2 linked regions of the Mytilus edulis genome follow. The main gene of each other region encodes a partner of the protein of the gene in region 2 in a complex. Links are inferred from orthologs where the notes say so. Each region holds a gene or a part of one and is shown on either strand. Other genes may lie near its edges.

The links.
Region 1: DNA replication complex GINS protein PSF1-like (region 2) and DNA replication licensing factor mcm4-A-like share a complex: the UniProt entries of both Homo sapiens proteins name them as parts of the CMG helicase complex. The link is inferred for Mytilus edulis from reciprocal best matches to the Homo sapiens genes GINS1 and MCM4.

The regions. Positions count from the first base shown.
Region 1 is NC_092348.1:46,351,758-46,359,290, reverse strand, and holds the start of DNA replication licensing factor mcm4-A-like, read right to left. Parts: upstream 3,422-7,533; 5' UTR 3,334-3,421; intron 1,412-3,333; 5' UTR 1,382-1,411; coding exon 1,294-1,381; intron 841-1,293; coding exon 805-840; intron 79-804; coding exon 1-78. Other genes in the region: malonyl-CoA-acyl carrier protein transacylase, mitochondrial-like, read left to right, coding at 3,697-4,350, 5,248-5,335, 7,165-7,385. UniProt on the Homo sapiens protein: Acts as a component of the MCM2-7 complex (MCM complex) which is the replicative helicase essential for 'once per cell cycle' DNA replication initiation and elongation in eukaryotic cells.
Region 2 is NC_092352.1:54,417,252-54,423,589, reverse strand, and holds DNA replication complex GINS protein PSF1-like, read left to right. Parts: upstream 1-4,890; 5' UTR 4,891-4,963; coding exon 4,964-5,554; 3' UTR 5,555-5,642; downstream 5,643-6,338. Other genes in the region: prolyl 4-hydroxylase subunit alpha-2-like, read right to left, coding at 1,801-1,973. UniProt on the Homo sapiens protein: Required for correct functioning of the GINS complex, a complex that plays an essential role in the initiation of DNA replication, and progression of DNA replication forks.

The sequences.
Region 1 (7,533 bases), on a different chromosome or scaffold from region 2:
GTTTTGATGGGGGTGAGGATGTTTCATCTCTTTCTTTCTCTGGTTTGCTTTTTCTTGCACTTCCTCTTGTTGATGAGGCTAAAAAAGAACCACAAATCAAATGACATACGAACAATAACAAACAGTCAGTATGGGCTTAATTGATTTCCTGGGAATTGGAACTGTCCTTCACATGAAATGACATATCAATCTGCACATTTAGTCATTCTACTCTGACATTTAAGTTGTTCACGCATTTCATAGACTATTTTCACTGTTTAAAAGACAAGTCATTTTTCATTGTACCAGACTTCCCTCCTAGTTTTGGTAGTTTTTTTCTTTTCTTAAAGTTTATGCTTTGAAATTTGGTCTTATTTGTCCATAACTGTCTCTCATTTTAGATGTTTCTTCATTGTGAAATGTCAATTTCTCTCATGTTTGAAAACAATTGCTTTGGTAGGTTTTTTTAGATTTTAGATTTCACTCTAATAGCTATGTATTAGAGTTCAAAAGAACCATATTCAGATTTGCTTAACTACAACAGATTATTTTTTTGGTTAATTAACATATGCAAAAACATTTTTTTCTTGGGACTGCTCTGGATTCACCTTATAAAACTTTTGTCTACGGACAAAAAAAGTCAGACACTAATCCTTTTGGCACATTTTCAAATATGGCCAGCAACAGAAACTCAAACCATCTTAATGATTATGTGTTTTACACTAAACAGTGGATTCTTTTTCTTCATTTTTATGTCCCTGCTTTAACATGTTGAATGCTTTAGAAACAATAGCAGCAAAAAATAATGCGACAATATATACATACGTGTTGTTGCACTGGATCTTGAACTTTTCCTGGTTGCTAAAAATAAACAAAGAAAATCAAAATTAGTGTCGTTAACCAGATGAAGAAAATGTAAGAATGAAGAAAAATTATACTGTTTTCAAACTGTATCTCATATCGTAATTATATTTATTGCAATAAATAGATTGTTTTTTTTATGCAGGTAACATTAAAATAGTTCTGAATACCAATTTCCACAACAGCTTCAGTTAATTTTGTTGTTTCCATCCATTGGAGTGAACACAAAGAGAGCTAAACTTCTGAATGCAATTAATAGCTATTTAGTTATACATGTTCAAATGTTACTCTATTGGTGTCGATCTTGCAACTTGTCTGATCCCTCACTACAGACTAATCATGCTAAATATATAATGAACAGGTAAAAAATTGTCAAACTTCCTGAATTAAAATCCTAAAAAGTTTTATTCATAGAAACAAGTTATTAACAAACTATTTCCAACATAACCGTACGGGTTTTAGCATTTTCATCTGTTGTTGGAGAAGTAGGCTCTGATGTCCTCCCCCGTTTACTTCTACGAGGTGTCAATGGTTCAGACATATTGGGTTGTCAACTGGAAAGTTTTATAATCTACAAGACAAATAAATAGATACATTTGTACAAAAAGGATCAATCTGCAAGACAAATAGATACAGTTGTACAGAAGGGTTGAAATAAGCAGTCATGATATATTGCATATAATTAAACAACAAAAACTATTACTACATTAAAAGAACATCCTCTTCAGAGCTGAAACTCTAAATTTTAAGAAGAAAAAAATAGTAACATACATTGTATATTGTATTTTTGCCTGTTATTTCGGCAAAAATCAATGGAGTGATACATAAACATAATCTTGACCTGTTTCTTGTCATACTGGACTAACATTCTAAAAATTATCTCAACATATTCATGTATGTGAAGGGCCTTCAGTCCAGAAAAAAATGCTAAATCTATTATAGAAATTTTCAGTCAAAAGGCCATAGTTTCAGCAAAAATCAGCAGCACAAAACCAAAAGTAAACTCAATCTTTAAAACATTACAGTAGACTCACAAACACCAAAAAAAGTCCATATCATAAATAATTATTCTTCATGGAATGGTGGAAAAGGGTGAACCTTTACAGCCAGACCACTATGCGGAAGAAGCATTACAATCAAAGATAAGGCAGTGCCTGCACATTCCCGCATGCGGGGACATGAAGCCAATTTAATCTTCATAGGCTATGAGTACCCGCCTCAGGTTTTATAATTTAATGTCATCGGATAGGGAATAAAATGTTAAAAAAGCAACCATGGAAATTATCGCACTTAGTGAAAACAATTGATTACCCTCACAGAGATTTTAAGATTTGAAATGTCAAAATTTCGACTTTGAAAGTTCAATGGCAATTTTATTTTAACTATGTCATTAATACGTTTTCTAGAAATCTCCCTTGTTAGTTTTTTCAATATTTTTCTTTAAATATTGATTATAATTATTGATACATTTTTTTGTATAATAGAATATACAACTTTTTTTTTTTTAATTACAATCAAATTAAAAAGCTCATTTCAAACCAGTGAGAAATGTAATACAAAATCAATGTTCATAAATATCAAATGCATCTTGTTTTTAATAGACATATGGAACACAGGCACAGTCATTACCCTTACCTCCAATACACAAGATTTGTCAATAAATGTTCATGTGACTGTTTTTAGACCACTGCAAGTTTTGTGTTTCTAAATTGGCGTCGGTAGACATGGTAGACGAAATAATTACGATTGACATACTTGGGTAGGACTGCTACGGATGATTCTGACAATAACAGTAGTCGTGTTATACACCATTGTGTAGATAATAAAATTTAGATTTACGATAAAACAAGTTTTCGTGGGGTTGACAAACGAGAAATCAGCATAACTGAATTATGCCACTGACTGACATTTAAAAAAAATGCGAGTAAAGTACCTTGTGTTATAATTAAGGTATATACGCACCTCAAATTTATTTCCAAATATTTTTTTTTTTGTCTTTGTAAATATATATATATATATTATAGGCTACGCTGCGCTCGCAAACAGTAAATAATCTTCAGATCATTGAAGGACTACTGAAAACCTAAAGAAGAAGATATATAGGAAATTTTTTCGGAGACAAGACATTAGTGCCTGTGATAAATACCCACATTTTTGTCAATTTTAAGTCTTTAACTAAATTCTGACAGATACACAAAGTACATCAATAACCTATCAAAACATTATACATGCAGAACTGTGCCGAAACATATATCAATCACATATAAACGTAATCATAAAACAATAAAAGGCAGATAACTGGAAGATAAGTTTTAAAATGCTATTTAATTTATACATTTTTTGCAAAACACCAAAAAATAACCACAATGTCAATGTGATAACATGTAAAAGCTATAATGATAAGTATATGTTAATGCATTTTGAAAATGACATGAGCAACAGAAGCTATTCATAATCATTGTATGCATTTTTAAAGTCAAGTTTGTCAAATACCTGAGATGTGTTTTTCGTTGTTTTGTGATGGGTCGGTGTCACGTGTTGAAATTCGCGGGAAATATTTCCCTTTACTTCCGGTAAAAGAATTTCTTTACTAACTCGAATTTTAGCAAAAATGGTTTAAATGAAAACAGGAATTCACCATTATAGACCAAAAAACAAAAAAAAAATGAATTTTTGAATCCGATTTTTAATGTTTATGATACTAAAGTATTTGTCGTAAAAAGGTGAATCTCATTTTCGGAGTACGACCCATTTCCGATAGCTGATTGTAAACAAGAGCACATGGAGGCCAAATTTTCATCAATTGTCACTCTTATAAGTGATTGATAACTAAGGTGTAGCAACTTACTGAAGACCATGTTCCCATTGTTGTTAAGAGACTCCATTTTCTTTGTCGCACAAAGACAGTTGTTTTCTGATGCAAGGTTTCTAACCAGTTTTCGGACGTTTTGTTCCAAGAAAACAGACGAACAAACAAGTCCATCTTCATCAGTTGACATTGCAAGTGATGCAAGTTATGTACCTAGAAGACATAGGAAACGACAAACCGATTCGTTTCATTCAACACATTCGAGATCTGTTGCAAGGACATCCGATTATGAAAACCAGGGCACACTTGAAGTCAAAGGAATGCTTGATGATATGATTATAAACTCAGATAACGATAAAGGATTTGTAGAGACTTTTTCATCAGATGTTGGTGACAATCAAAAATCAAAAGAACATGAAAAACATTCACAAATAATAAGACCCGAAATTGACCCAGAGACAAAATCATTTACTTTTTTTCCTGGGCAAGGAAGCCAGTTTGTTGGCATGGGTAAACAATTGTTACCCTTTCCAGGTGTCAAAGGACTATATGACCATGCTAGTGAAATACTGAAATATGATTTACTAAAACTATGTCTGTATGGTCCAAAATCAGAACTAGATAAAACTATACATTGTCAGCCTGCTGTTTTTGTGACATCTGTTGCAGCTATTGAGAGATTAAAAGAAGAAAACTTTCAGGTAAACAATAATAAAAAGATTTTTACACATACAAAATGTACAATGTGTTACAACATTACAGTTATAAATATTATAATATTTCTACAGTTATTGTTACATTTGTATATATTCTCTGGGTAAGCAGATCCTGTTCCTCATGTGGCACCTGTCGTGCAAAGGGATATTGATGATTTGAACTTGATCATTTGGAAATTTAATAGCTTCCATGTGCGCAGCAACCCTACATGAAGGGAATCATGATAGGAAATACATTTTGGGGAATATATCGTATCAAGCGGGAGATATACATGTATAGTTCGTATGCAGGCGCTGCTGGTATGTTGCTACCTCATGTACATAGAAATGGAAAGTTCACAATTGGTTAACTTTTGCAGAACTTTTAACATTGCTCTTCAAATCCCAGGAAACTGGAACGAACCTACATTGTATGGGTTAAAAAATTTCAAACACCCCTTCCTGGTTACGCGTAACAAATGGTGGTAGCTGTGCAAATTTGTTGAGCATTTCTATAGAGTAATCTGACTGTCAGACAGGGACATTAAATCTGAGCTCCCATATTCAGGGAGTACCATGCACTATGCACGTTAAAGAACCCTTGCAACAACTCTTATTGAGCATGTTGAGGGGTCTGTAACATGTGTACATTTAAGTGGCCTGTTGTGAGTCAAAATTGTTTTAAACAGATATTTGCCAGCAGAATTTTTCATGTTGATCAGATGACCATTTTAAACAAAATAGAATATTTGTTGCCTGCTATAAGCCTTGGTGTAAAAACAGTTCATGCTGGAAGAATATTTCTTGTGTAGAAGATGAAAATGGGGAAATGAATGAAAGATGTATAGGAAAAATCAATTGATATCATAAGTACATTAATATCATGATTTTGTTGTATTACAGGGTATAGAGAATACCGTTGCTACAGCTGGTTACAGTGTTGGAGAGTTTGCTGCTATGGTGTTTGCTGGAATGATGTCTTTTGAAGATGGTACTTACATATAGCTATATATATATTAGATAGTTTATTTAAATGAGAATCTTAAATAATTGAATTCTATTTTAACAGTTAAAATAGCATGACTCTGACAAAAAACTACTAATAAACCTCCTCATTGCATGACTCTGACACTAAACTACATCATGTAGTGTAGTGTCACAGTCGTGCAATGACGAGATTTACCAGTTAGATTAAATAGAGCACAAAATAATTCAGCTATGAATATATTTACTGTAAACTTTTATTGGGCTTTAGTTCACAGGGCCCATAACAAGCATTTATAACCCTGATTATCACACATTTTCATATCTTTTCTAAGAAAAACTGTCAAATTGATTGTGAACCATGAAAGGGATTTTAGACAATGGTATAGACTTGCTACATGTCCCTTCCTAATTATTATTATTTTTTCAATTTTGCCCCTTTAATAATTTTACTGCTATAACTAGGAGATTACAATTATATTATACCTTTCTCCAAGGGCAATCAGTAGGCTGGCACTTATCAGTAAACATATAAATTAGTAAGAGAGAAATATTAGAAAGGGAATTGTAGCAAGTCTAACAATGGTAATGTGCCATCTTAAAATAGATCACAGGGATCTCTGATTATCAATGACTCAGAAAAAAATGGAAAAACAGGATCTGCTAAAAATTTGAAAATGTTGAATGAAGAAAGAAAAACAAAGTGAGCAATAAGGGCATGGTCAAGATAGCCTGACTTGTTACATGTACTGAAAATTCAGAAACTATTGCTTGCATTTATTATTGCGATTTTGTCATTTTAGATTAAAATGTGATTTTAATTTTTTATGATTTTGAGAAAAATTGTGTTTAATTTATATTAAATATTTCATAATGCAAGTTTAAATTATTGCTTTTACAACTCTCTCGCATTTTTCACAATAATAAAAACCTCACAATAATTTCTTGATTGACTGTACTCTATTAGGGGGAGATAATCTCGTCTAAGTTCACACACATCTCTCACTTACAATGTAGCATCTATACCATAATTTGTAGTGTCCGTTGGTCAGCCTTTAGCTTTATATCTTATATTATATATAGTATATACAATGTATAATATATAGAGATATAAGTCAAGATTGTTTTTTATTACTTCAAGTAAGATAAAATTAAGAATGAAAATCGGCAATGTGTCAAAGAGCAGAAAATAGCACAAAGCCACTAATGGATTTTCAACCCAGGGAGAAATCTGAACACATAGGAGGGCCCCTAAACAAAAATGTGTACTAGTCCATCTTAACATGAGAGAAACAATTTTGTTACCTGATTTCTAACTTATTACTTTGGTTTACTAGTTTTCATTTCATGAATCTCAGATCCCATCTCAGTTGGAAAAAACTTGGATTGAGGTAAAGAAATGTAGCTTGTGTGCCTTGAGTGCAGTAATATACATGCTCGTGATTTATGAGACAGCTATTAATCAAAGAGTGATTCCCTTTATCTCCCAGCTGTCACCCTTATCTATGGTGAATTATTCAGCTCTAGTATATAAGCATGATAAGCAAGTGTAAATTTTTAACTGAATAAAAAAATCAGCAGCTAAAAATGGACATCTTGAGCTGTAGACATAATATTGCCTTAATATAAAGACTGGTGCTGTCTTGCTGAAGTTTCAAAAAGCAAAAAGTTTGTGAACCTTTAAATGTGATGTTGTATTTGCTATTTGTGTAATTAGATTGCTGTCTAATGGATAACCAAGACAAGGCAGTCATTGTCACACGACTTTACTTTGTCAATATTAAAAACAAGTTTCCAGTTCTTATAACAGTAACTATTATCTGTCACTATTTTCAGCCCTCAGTGTGGTCAAAGTAAGAGCTCAGGCAATGCAGAGAGCCTCAGAGGAGACACCTAGCGGAATGATGACAGTGTTTTGTTTCTGGGGAACCAAACTGAATCTAGCTACAGAAGCTGCTAAACAGTATTGCAAGGAGCAACATCATATAGAAGATCCTGTTTGTAGAATAGCCAGCTACCTGTTCCCTGAGGTTAAAGTTATAGCTGGACATGAAGAGGTACAAAGAGGTTCTTACTCTATTTTGAATGAGCTTCATAGTTTCTGTACTGAGACATCAATATTTTCTTACCATTCATTTGTTAAAGTTTTTTCCACTCCTCTGCCTTTTTCATCCATTATTCCTACGTAACTCCTGGCAGTACTTT
Region 2 (6,338 bases):
TTATTTACATGTACAAATGTACATTGTATACATGTATAAATACCTATCTCCTGAAAATGCATGTTCTATTTTCGTCTGGACTAAAAGATACATAAAATTGAGAATGAAAATGGGGAATGTGTCAAAGGACAAAAAACATCTGAAGGCCACAAGCATTCACAAGCGGATCATCAACACAGCAAGAAAATTATACACCCGCAGGAGGGCTTTAGCTGGCCCTAGATAAAAATGTGTACTTCAGGTAGTTTAGTGAAAATTGATGTCATGCTAAACTATCTACATGTACAAATTAATCCTTTAACTCAAAGATAATCTTCATTATATCAAAGATTTATTTTCCAAACCATTGTCTTTTTACCAATCCTTTTATCTACATTTTATCAAAGTCAACATTTTCCAAATCATTATCTTTTTATCAATCCTTTAATTTATCTTCATTAAACTAAAGACAATATTTTCCATATATATGCCATATATAAATATAAATCTTTTTATCAAAAAGCCATAAAAAATTTATACTATGATAATCCTTTGATAATACATTTTTGTACATGTATCAAGGAGCAAAAATCTTAAATTAAACATTTTATTGCATGCAGCATATTGTTCTTCAACATTATTTTAAAACAAAAGTTACTAAACATTGCTAAAAGTGTAGAGTGTAGCAGTTTTATTGAAATTTCAACAAAAGTTTTATACTTTTATTACTATTATTTGTAAAAACTAAAAGATGCAGATGTCTTCTTACAATGTATATAAAATTAATATTTTTATTGCTTATGGTAACATTTGGTGTTCAAACTCCTACAATAGTATTTTCCTGTTCAATGAGCTTGGTTATTTGGAGCGAAAAATATCAGATAAGAAACATGGAAAATAGTACCAGGCGCGGATCCAGAGGGGGGGTTCCAGGGGTTGGAATTCCCCCTTTTTTTGGACGATCAATGCATTTGAATGGGGACATGTAATTGGAACCCCCCCCCCCCCCTTTGTCCTGGGTTAGAAACCCCCCTTTTTAAAATGGCTGGATCCGCCCCTGAGTACATCCTGTTTTCTGCTTAACAAAATCAAAGCAATATACATATGGAAATTTACAAACCTTTTGGATCAGATACAACTATAAATGGAGCAATTTTATCTTTAAATTGGTATTTTACACCTACATGTATTACTGAATATTATGCAAATGTTTGGGATAACATTTTATCTGACAATATTTTACATGTACATTTTTTGTAGTATTAAAAAAATAAAAAAAGGAAAATTTGATATGCTTGTCAATGCAATGAGACAACTATACATGTACAGGTCACTAGCTAGTGACCAAGGATCAACATGAATAAGGGATGAAGACATGGACATGTCATTTTGGGATACCCATTTATTCAATTTTATTTTTACAAAATGGAAGTAAAGGTCCTCTTTAAAAATCCTCTTATGAACATGAGGAATTGTCAACTTCTAACCAAAATTGTTTAATAATATTTTATGAATTTAAATAATTTAAAACTTTAAATGACTTTTGTACATCCTTTCGAATATGAATCTAAAAAAATTGTAGAAGAATTATCTTAAAACAATCATAAAATAACTCTATTTTGTATCTACCAGTACCACACAATCGAATGATCAGCTATATAGCCATACATCAAGACATGTCAAACTGACAACCTACAGGACTAGATACAAGCTAGGTACAAGTGTACTAGCCTCAGTTAATCATATAAAGTCTGGTGGCTATTATTATTATTATTAATGTATATATTTTAGTTTTATTAAAATAAAAAGTGGTATTCTCACCTAGAGAGTGCATCCAATCTTTGTTTTTCTTCTCTTACATATTCTTTTATTCTTGAAGAAATTTCTCTCTCTGCAAATAAAGCTCTTTCCATGTGGGCCAAAGATGTAAACAGTTCACATCTAACAACTGATGCCACGCAAATAAGCAACAACAAATACCTCTGATTTGTCATTGTTCCTGAGTTAGTCTTCAAAACTTTGTTGTTTATTTTTTAACAATTTGTTTAATAGTGAATGACAACTTCAGTACCAAGTAACATGAAGGGTCTGAGAAATCACCAGAAAGTTCCACGTTGGATGGTGGCTTACGTGCACAAACTCTTGCGTAGAATCTTCAGGAATCTACACACACACACAACATCAAAGAGTGCCCCTTATCAAATTACATTTCATTGATGGGCTATTCCATTGTTGTAGGGAAAACAGGTGTCCCTGTAGATATATGATCATATATTATGAAACAAATCAAAGAGGTTTATAAAGATTGAAAACGTCAAAAACAGAGAATTTTTAATTGCATAGATTTCTTTTGTACGTGCTAACTGATGCACAGTAAAACAGCTTTATTTAAAAATCACATCATTTTATTAGCCCTGGGAGAAAATAATTTTCCAAAGGTCATGTTGATATCACGTGATTACCTCTCGGTCTGGGGTCCTAATCTACGCTTTCAGTCGGCGGCTAAGAAGTGAGTTAGGATCCCAGTTTAATTATTTGTCGGAGCTCCTCGCACTTTTTCATTGTTTAGAACCATGAATGATTTGATAATAACGGTCTCACTAATTAGCGACAACAAGCGTCAACAAGCGACAAGAAGCGACAACAAGCGTCAACAAGCGACAAGAAGCGACAACAAGAATTATTTTAACGACAACAAGCGACAAGAAACTATTTAGCGACAAGAAAACATTTTTTTTTAATTAAAATTAATTATTGCAATAAATATTAAAAGAATATGCAAAAGAAAATAATTTTAGCGACAAGAAAGTTAAAATTGATAGAAAAAAATGAAACATTATTTACATAATATTTTATCATCTATTATGAATAACAGCCAGTATTACGTTTAATTATTGTATTATGAGATTACTTTTCCTTGTGTTTTAGAACAAATTATTTATTTTATAATTTGTTTTTTAAAACTCTAGTCTTTTCGTGCAATATATATTAAGCTCGCAAAATGAATTATTTGTGCATCATTGTCCTGAAAATATTGACACAAATTGTGAAATACAAAGAACTGAAATCAAACAGGAGGAAAAGAAAATTGAAATGTGAATGTTTTCATCTTTTTATTTGTTTATTAATGCCTCATTAAACGATATTTATCATGTTTATGCATATTGATTGAAGATGAAAGGAAATTAATGACAATCTTGAGTTTTCAACAGGTATTCACTATTTACAATGATTGTATATTCTGGCGCGTGTAATTGTATAGTCTGACGCGTGTACAAGTTGAAGGTGTTAATTGGATGTTATTATAGCAATAAAACAGGGGACACGCGACTCGTTAATCTCGTTTGATGTTCCACATTGTGTGTACTGTTATTACCTTAGGGTGAAGCCACATCTAATGTTGTTCCTATCAAGAACAATGAATTATACTGTTAGAAAGGAAATAATATTTCATGTTTTTGTTTCAATAAATCCTTCAAAGGAAAGTTGACCTTTTTTTGTTTTTGTTTCAATTTTATAGCGTGTGCATTTCCTTTGCTCTACCAAGCTGACTGAAGCCATTCAACTTTTATGTTTAGTATAAAGTAAATTGTCAGCATTTCAGTATTATTCTAGCAAAAGTACGTGCTCTGTGCAATTGCTAGTATCTAAAACGCAACTCGGTTTACCTTTGATTAATAAATCAGTTACTTTGTACGTCTTTGATACTGCGCGGTATCAAACGAACCCTTTGGTACAGGGTTTCAATTTCCTTTTGGGCAAGGGAAAAACTTCGATAAATGCATATTAGAAGTATTATAATTATACTATAGTGGACACGTCCGTTCATGATATCCCCTTGGGCAAGGGTAAATATTGAAACGCACTTATTTTGTCACATCGCCGTGTCAAACTGAATCCCTTGGGATAAGGGTTTTCCTCTTGAGCAAAGGAAATAGTAGGGAAGTTATACCTTTGGTTGAAGACAGGGTTTCTAGACAAATATTAAATGAACAAAGCATGATTATTAAAGAAAGAAACCCTGTCCAAGTCTCAACAAATGGCAATTGTCTCTTCAATTCTTTGTCAGTGGACATGTGTGGCAATGAAAGTCTTGCAACAAGACTGAGAGTTTTGACTTGTATAGAGATGGTGTCAAATAAGCTAATTCACAAAGAAATAAAGTTGCAAGAAAGTCTTGTCAATGGCGCACTTTATGGACATGGAGACTTTGAGCTAAGCTCCTCAGTAAGCCATTTTCAATGCACAAAAGCTCTATGGCAGATTAAATCGGAGAAAGAAAAGGCTTTTGCATTGCAAAAATTCTTGACTCATGGGTCTGGAAACACGCTTAAATAATAAAGATGGCAAAGCGTGGCTGAGAGTTCTACAAATAAAGCATCGAATTGACATAACAAGAGTACACTTAGAGCATAGTATTAAGCAAATGAATCAAAATATTATATTCCGTTATGCCCGCTCCATATATATATCTCCATTCGTTTATTCATACTTTGACTTTGATGAAAACAGATACATACATTATCTTATACATATTCTTCATATTTAAAAATAAAAAAAAAAGAACCTCAATCTCTTTCTTTTTCACAAATGTTAAATTTCTTCATCTACCAATATACTAATATAAACTTCACAATCTCTTTCTTCCTCACAAATTTATGTTTCATTTCTTCGTCTATCTATATAATAAAACATTTTAATTAGACATATCTGCTCGTATATTTTAAAAAAAACATTAAATACAAATTTCTTTATATCTAATAAAAAAAAAATATGTTTTCTTGTCGCTAAATAGTCTTCTTGTCGCTTGTTGTCGCTAAAATAATTCTTGTTGTCGCTTCTTGTCGCTTGTCGACGCTTGTTGTCGCTTCTTGACGCTTGTTGTCGCTAATTAGTGAGACCCGATAATAAAATGTTCCGAGGGGAGTTATAAATGGCGGGAATTTAAGTTGATAAACAGTCACATACATTGAACATCGTAGAAATGTTAGCCGAAAAAGCTTTAGAGCTCATTGCTGAGTTACAACGAACAATTGATAGCACACTTGGTCCATATAATGAAGATACAGCCAGACACGTGTTAGAGGAGATGAAAGCTTTGTTTGAACAAAACCAGAAGGATGTCAGCGCCACAGTTGCTGGAGAAAATGGTTTGTTTTCAGGAGTACAACTTCGGCATGCTGCTTTGGAAAGGAATAAAAGGTGTCTTTTAGCATATATTTATAACAGATTACAACACATTAAGAAGATGAGATGGGAGTTTGGAAGTGTACTGCCTTCGGATGTCAAATTGAACCTAGGTGAACAGGAAGTTCAGTGGTTTGGAAAATATAACAAATTGCTAGCAAACTATATGAGGTCTATAGGAGACCACGGGGGACTTGATCTCACACAAGATCTTAAACCACCAAAAACTTTATTCATTGAAGTCAGGTGTTTGATGGATCACGGTGAATTTGAAACTCAAGATGGTAACATTGTATTGTTGAAGAAAAATAGCCAGCATTTTCTATTGAGATCTGAATGTGAACATTTAATTAGACAAGGAGTTTTGGAACATATTGTCCATGGTTAAACACTGTTGAATCAAGTTTATTTAATGTGCAATAAGCCAAAAGCAAGTGTGTAACTTTTATCAAATAAAATCAATAGACAATACCAGACAGTATTTGGATTAATTCTATTTCATTTAATGTAGGTCACCTGGCCCAATGGGTGAACTGATTAATATTGCCCTTATTGTTAGTTATTTTCACAGCTACATGTACATGTATGTCACAGAAACTCGGTTAACTATTAATTTTTTCCAAGGAATATGTCTGTTGATGGGTAAATCGGCTAATGCAACAACAGTATTAAATTCAGGGTTTTAACTTGACTATTGAATGATGAGAGCTATTGAATAATATTCCACAACATTAATACATGCACATGTTTATCAAACTTAACTGAATGTCGAGCAAATATCAATCATCAAATATGTATCAAGCTCAAATTGCCCAAAGTCTGTTAACATGTAGTGAAGTCTTTGGAAGGTCTGTCATAAAAAGTTGAGTCTCCAGAGTCCAAGTCATGCAAATAGCAAAACATATTGTTATGCGTTTACTTTTCTACATTGGCTAGAGGTATAGGGGGAGGGTTGAGATCTCACAAACATGTTTAACCCCGCCGCATTTTTGCGCCTGTCCCAAGTCAGGAGCCTCTGGTCTTTGTTAGTCTTGTATTATTTTAATTTTAGTTTCTTGTGTACAATTTGGAAATTAGTATGGGCCGGCCAGGCCATTCATTAGAAGGCGGTACCCGGTACTTTTACCCTCCTATGCTATTGACAAGTACCGCCTAAATGTAGGAATTTTTAT